Linked DNA regions of Oryctolagus cuniculus. The protein of the gene in region 1 purifies or fractionates together with the protein of each later gene. This does not show direct contact. Links are inferred from orthologs where the notes say so. Each region holds a gene or a part of one and is shown in the gene's direction. Other genes may lie near its edges.

Region 1 (3,400 bases):
ATAAAGTTATAAACATATTGTGTTTGATTTTCTTGCAGGGCAGGCTTTCTATTTTAGAAATCTGTACAAAAAGTATGCCAATAGGGTCTGATGTTTCCTTAGAAAACCTAGCAGCAGAAACCTGTTTTTTCTCTGGAGCTGACCTGAGAAACCTCTGCAGAGAAGTAAGTTAATTGGTGAAGAAATCTGTAGTTGAAAACATTCCTTCTTCTATTCCTGCATTCATCCACTTGGCAGTGTTTTCTGAGACTTCTAAGTGGTGGGTGCACGCCATGTGAGGCACAGATGCAGCCCCTTCCCTTACAGGGCTCACAGGCTGGAGGTGGGGCCGTGCAGAGGCAGATCATCATACTGGACTGGCAGTAGTGACCGTGTAGTGCATTGGGGAAGTTTAGGGTGCTGCTGTACCTAGAGGAATACCAGCCCAGACTTGGGGACCAGGGAAGGCTTTCTGAGTGAGGAAATTAGCAGCATGATTAGGGAGTTCAACAGCTAAGGGAGGGAATACAGTGTGCAGAGGGTTGGCAGTAGGAGAGGATGTGACACTCTTGAATCTTAGAATGGAGAATGGCAAAAAATGGAGCTGATGAAGTAGACAATGGCCAGATCTCACAGGTCCTTGTAAGTACTTGAAAGCAATTAGGTTTTATTTTTGAGGGCAAAAGAAACCATTATAGGCTTTTCTTCTCCCATAAACTTAGGCTAAATATAACTTTTTGTAAAAGATTTATTTATTTATTTGAAAGGCAGAGTTACAAAGAGAAAGAGAGAGAGTGGTCTTCCAACCGATGGTTCACTCCCCAAATGGCTGCAACAGCCAGAGCTGGGCTGATCTGAAGCTAGGAGCTTCTTCCAGATCTCCCATGCTGGTGCAGGGGCCCAAAGACTTGGACCATCCTCTGCTGCTTTCCCAGGTGCATTAGCAGGGAGCTAGATCAGAAGTGGGACTTGAACCAGTGCCCATATATGATGCTGGCATGGCAGGCGTCAGCTTTACCCGCTACGCCACAACACCGGCCCCTAAATATAACATTTTATAAAGCACAGATCAAAAGGATATAGTTATTGACATAAAGCGAACACACTTTTATTCTAACCACCAACTGAACACTGTCAGTTCCCTGAACGTTCCTTTGTTCTCCGTTCATCTGTCACCTGCCTGCTCGCAGAAGTGGTCTGCTGTCCCGGTCTCCAGCACTGGAGATCAGTGTCGCCTGCCTTTGATCTGCACACAGATGACACTAGACGGTGCATGTTATTTCTGTCTGCTCCTTTAACTCAAGACTGTGTTTTTGAAATTCATCCATGATTTTGTATGTAGCCATAGTTTTCTCTACTGCTTTATAATATTCTAGTATATTAATACTCTGCATTTATTTTTTTAAAGACTTATTTATTTATTTGAAAGTCAGAGTTACCCAGAGAGAGGAGAGGCAGAGAGAGAAAAAGAGAGGTCTTCCATCTGTTGGTTCATTCCCCATTGGCTGCAACGGCCGCAGCTGCGCCAATCCAAAGCCAAGAGCCAGGAGCTTCTTCCGGGTCTCCCATGTGGATGCAGGGGCCCAAGAATGTGGGCCATCCTCCACTGCTTTCCCAGGCCATAGCAGAGAGCTGGATCAGAAGTGGAGCTGCCAGGACTCAAACCAGCACCCATATGGGATCCTGGCACTGCAGGCAGCCACTTTAACCACTGTGCCACAGCACGGGTCCCATTACTCTGCATTTTATTTATATTTATTCATTGTTTTCCTTTTGAGCATTTGGATTTCTCCTTTATTACATGTCTCTAGATGCACATGTGTATTTATATCTATTTCATAGCTATGAGAATGGCAAAGTCCTAGAATATGTGTTTGATCTTTTTCCTTAAATTTATGATCAGTGCTGTTTAGAAACTCTTACTACTCCAAGACCAAGAAGATATGGTCTCATTTTCAAAAATATATATGGACTTGTAGTATATTTATTATTCTGCAACTTGGCTCTTTTCCCATTTAAGGCTAAAGTTTAAATGGAGAAGAAATTACAGTCTATGCTACATGTATTTTTAATCATTTTAAATTTGTTAGCTTAATGTTTTTAGTGACATAAATATTGGAATCCTAAAAATGAAACTGAGATTTTGGATTCAAATTTTATAGTATGGCCATGTTACCTTAAAAAAAATATGAAGCCAATTAAATGTTGTCTTATTGCTTGTCCCTCCTAGGCTGCCTTGCTTGCTCTGCAAGAAGATGGACTGGAAGCAACCACGGTGAAACAGGAGCATTTTCTAAAATCACTAAAGACTGTAAAACCATCTTTAAGTCGCGAGGACTTGACTTTATATGAAAACTTATTTAAGAAAGAAAGATTTGCTAATTTAGAAGATACGTAAAAATCACTTTACACCCCTGTTGGGTTGTTTACATGAACTGAAATGGGACTTTGCCTACAGTTTGCAACGTCACACTTTCAGAGTGTGTGTGTATGTGTGTGTGTGTCCTTTAAATAAGGAGAACTTGAACCTGATAAGCTAAGGGTCATCTTATTTCTAAAAGGCATATGTTCAAATAAAAGTTAAAAAAAAATAAAGCTTTTAAAGACACCCTTAAAAAAAGGCATATGTTATTAAAATATGTAATTGAGAAGTGTGTGTATTGATTTTGTCATAAGGATAGCTGGTTTTGGCTGATTCCTTTCTTTTCTTTTTTTCTTTCTTTTTTTTTTTTTTTTTGACAGGCAGAGTAGATAGAGAGACAGAGAGAAAGGTCTTCCTTTGCTGTTGGTTCACCCTCCAATGGCCGCCGCGGCCGGCACGCCGTGGCTGGCGCACCACGCTGATCCTAAGGCAGGAGCCAGGTGCTTCTCCTGGTCTCCCATGGGGTGCAGGGCCCAAGTATTTGGGCCATCCTCCACTGCACACCCTGGCCACAGCAGAGAGCTGGCCTGGAAGAGGGGCAACCAGGACAGAATCCGGCACCCCGACCGGGACTAGAACCTGGTGTGCCGGCGCCGCAAGGCGGAGGATTAGCCTAGTGAGCCGCGGCTCCGGCTCCTTTCTTTAGCTTTGAAATAATTTCATTCTTTCAGAAAAATTACAAGAACAGTACCAAGAACTCTTATATAGTCTAACCCAGATTCATTGGTCTTTAACGTTTTTGCTATATTTGTGGGCTTTCTCTCCTTTTTGTATCTAGGCACACATATACACACTTTTCTAAATGATGTGAAACAGATTATATACTTTATGCCCCTTTTTTCCCTTACTACTTAAGTATGTATTTTTTTTTTAATTTATTTATTTGAAAGTTAGAGAGTAAGAGAGAGAGAGGTCTTCCATCCACTGGTTCACTCCCCAGATGGCCACAATGTCAAGAGCTGGGCTGATCTGAAGCCAAGAGCTAGGAGCTTCTTCCAG
Region 2 (3,246 bases), on another chromosome or scaffold:
CGCGGGCTGAGCGTGCGCACGGTGCTGCTGAACGCGGACGGAGAGGTGCGTGCGTGCGGGCAGCGGCGGGGGGCGGGGGGCGCGGGGGGCGCGGGCTGAGCGTGCGCACGGGGCTGCTGAACGCGGACGGAGAGGTGCGTGCGGGCCGGCGGCGGGGGGCGGGGGGCGGGGGGCGCGGGGGGCGTGGGCTGAGCGTGCGCACGGGGCTGCTGAACGCGGACGGAGAGGTGCGTGCGTGCGGGCGAGCGGCGGGGCAGCTGGGGCTGGGGGCGGCGCGGGGCGGGGGGCGCGGGCTGAGCGTGCGCACGGGGCTGCTGAACGCGGACGGAGAGGTGCCGGCGGCGGGGCGGGGGGCGCGGGCTGAGCGCTGCCCCCGCCTGCAGGAGGTGGCCATGCGCACGGTGAAGCAGTCCGCCGCCGCCGTGCGGGAGAGCGGTGACGGAGACGAGGACGGGGACGAGCAGGCTGAGCTGGGCGAGGAGGACCTGTTCCACCAGCAGGTAGCGGGCGGGGCGTCCCGCGTGGTCCTGGCTGCGGGCGGGGCGGGGCGGGGGTGTCCCGCGTGGTCCGGGGCTGTAGGCGGGGTGGGGGGCGTCCCGCGTGGTCCTGGGCTGCGGGCAGGGTGGGGGCGGGGTGGGGGCGTCCCCGCGTGGTCCCGGGCTGCGGGCGGGGCTGCGGGCGGGGCCTTCCCCGGAGGGAGCGCCCCGAAGGCCGGGCCTGGGGCCTGACGCGCGCCCTCCCCGCAGGGAGACCCCCGCACCACGTCGAGAGGCTGCCGCGTGATGTGAGCGCCGCCCCGCCCGCGGCCCCCGAGGACTGTAGTTTTCTATCATTGGCTTTCCCCACACCGATACCATTTCCCGAGAATTCTTACAACTGCGGGCGCGGGCGGGGCGGGGCGGGGCGGGGCGGTCCCGGGAGGCGCCAGCAGGGCCCCGCCTCGGCCGGGACCCCCGCCCGCACCCCTGCCCGCGAGCGCGGCGGGCGCCCAGGGACGCTGGCGCTGCGGGGGTCGCGGCCGGGAGCTCCCGCACGGCCCCGTCGGTGCGTGGCTCCTGTCCGTCAGCCGCGGCCCGGCCGCAGGAGCCTCCCACGCACAGACGCTATTTTTTTAATGGATATTTATTTTTTTACATGGGTCAGCCCCACCCCTCGGGCCGACCGCCCAGACCCCCGCCCGGGCCCCGCCCCCGCGCTGCCCCACGCGCCCCCGGGGCACGCACGCCTCGCGCGCAGGGAAGTTGTCTTCACCCCACGCCTTCCCGCGGCGGGGCGGGAACCCCGTGGCCCTGTGCGCGTGGGCTCGGGGGGTCGCGGCCCTGGGGGGGGTCCCGGTCACGCGCCCGGATGCATGCGGCCCCTCCCGTGGTTTGTAACGCATTTTACGACTGGAACCTTTTGTACAACAACACTCCAATAAACGTTTTGATTCTAACCGCGGCCGCTCGCTCCTTCTGTCGCCGGCCCTGGCCACCTCCCCTCGCCCTGGGCGTCCAGGCCGCTGTCGCCTGGGCCGGGCTTTGCCGCGTCACGTGACCTGGCTCCGCCCCAGGCGCGCGCGGGAGTGCGCAGGCGCGACGGGATTCGGCGGAAGCGTGGCGCCTCGCGCATGCGCGGGCATTGTGGGAGTTGTAGTCCGCCGGCCGGCTCCGCTTCCCGTGGTGCCCCGCGCGGCGCGACTTCCGGCGCGGAGACGGGTCGGTGCGCGCGGCCACAGTCCGGCTGACTGCGGAGCCATGGAGGGCAGCTTCGGCTCGGACTTCGGGGGCTCGGGCGGCGGGAAGCTGGACCCGGGCCTCATCATGGAGCAGGTGAAGGTGCAGATCGCCGTGGCCAACGCGCAGGAGCTGCTGCAGGTGCGGGCCGGGGGCGGCGCGGCGGAGGCGGAGGCGGAGGCGCCCGGGCTCGGGCGGCGCGGCTGAGGCCTGCGCGTGTCTCCGCAGAGAATGACGGACAAGTGCTTCCGGAAGTGCATCGGGAAGCCGGGGGGCTCCTTGGACAACTCGGAGCAGGTGAGTCCCGCGGGGGCGCGGGGAGGCTGTGTGCAGGGGCGCGGGGTCCCGGCGCCGGAGGGGAGCTGTGTGCGGGGCGGCGGGGGCGCGGGGTGTCCGTGTGCAGGGGCGCGGGGCGGCGGCGGGGGCGCGGGGTGTCCGTGTGCGGGGGCGCGGGGTCCCGACGCCGGCGGGGAGGTGTGTGCGGGGCGGCGGGGGCGCGGGGTGTCCGTGTGCAGGGGCGCGGGGCGGCGGGGGCGCGGGACGCCGGCGGGGAGGGGGCGCGGGGTCCCGGCGCCGGAGGGGAGGTGTGTGCGGGGCGGCGGGGGCGCGGGGCGGCGGAGGGGGCGCGGGGTGTCCGTGTGCAGGGACGCGGGACGCCGGCGGGGAGGGGGCGCGGAGTCCCGGCGCCGGCGGGGAGGCCTGTGCGGGGGCGCGGGGTCCCGGCGCCGGCGGGGAGGGCCGGGGCGCGCGCGTGTCCCCGGCTGAGCCGCGTGTCCCCGCCGCAGAAGTGCATCGCCATGTGCATGGACCGCTACATGGACGCCTGGAACACCGTGTCGCGCGCCTACACCTCGCGGCTGCAGCGGGAGCGCGCCAACCTGTGACCGAGCCGGACGCCGCAGGCCGGGCGTCGGGGCCGGGTCTGGACCTTGGTGGGGAGGGGGCGCTCGGGCCCCGCTCCGCTGTGACCCCGCGAGGGCGAATAAACGGCTGAGCCAGCGCGGGGACCCGCATTTCTCTCTGGGCGCGGGCGGGGGAGTGCGGTGCCCGCTGCGAGGCTGCCCCCCCGCCCCCCCCCCGGCCCCGCGCGGGACAAGGAGGCGCTGAGCCGTCGGGCTGCGGGCGGGAGCTGTTTATTGGCACAGGCAGGGTCACTCCTGGATGTTTTGCGCGATCCAGGCTCTCACCGCCGCCACCCGGGTGTAGACGCCGGGGAAGTGGGGCCGGCCGCAGCCGTACCCCCAGCTGGTGACCCCCGTTAGCACCCAGCGGCCGGAGGGCTCCCTGCAGGCCAGAGGACCCCCGGCGTCGCCCTGAGGGAGAGGAGGAGGAGGAGGGGGCTCAGCGGAGGCCGCGGGGAGGGCCCGGGACCCCCGGCCGCCCGCTCACCGAGCAGCTGTCGACGCCGCCCTGCGGGAAGCCGGCGCACAGCATACGGCTGCTGATCTGCACCGGGTAGAAGCGGCGGCAGGTCTGCTCGCTGAGCACGCGCACGGCCGCCTGCTGCAGGTGCCGCGCCATGGCGCCTGCG

The links. The genes of interacting proteins can lie anywhere in the genome.
Region 2: the proteins of AFG2B (region 1) and TIMM13 purify together in Homo sapiens (co-immunoprecipitation; 3 studies listed by BioGRID and IntAct, with this or other methods). This does not show direct contact. The link is inferred for Oryctolagus cuniculus from reciprocal best matches to the Homo sapiens genes AFG2B and TIMM13.

The regions. Positions count from the first base shown.
Region 1 is NC_091443.1:68,055,012-68,058,411, forward strand, and holds the end of AFG2B (ATPase family gene 2 protein homolog B), read left to right. Parts: intron 1-38; coding exon 39-164; intron 165-2,209; coding exon 2,210-2,377; 3' UTR 2,378-2,630; downstream 2,631-3,400. UniProt on the Homo sapiens protein: ATP-dependent chaperone part of the 55LCC heterohexameric ATPase complex which is chromatin-associated and promotes replisome proteostasis to maintain replication fork progression and genome stability.
Region 2 is NW_027208270.1:74,001-77,246, forward strand, and holds TIMM13 (mitochondrial import inner membrane translocase subunit Tim13), read left to right. Parts: upstream 1-1,594; 5' UTR 1,595-1,736; coding exon 1,737-1,856; intron 1,857-1,943; coding exon 1,944-2,012; intron 2,013-2,500; coding exon 2,501-2,599; 3' UTR 2,600-2,715; downstream 2,716-3,246. Other genes in the region: LMNB2 (lamin-B2), read left to right, coding at 384-500, 747-788. UniProt on the Homo sapiens protein: Mitochondrial intermembrane chaperone that participates in the import and insertion of some multi-pass transmembrane proteins into the mitochondrial inner membrane.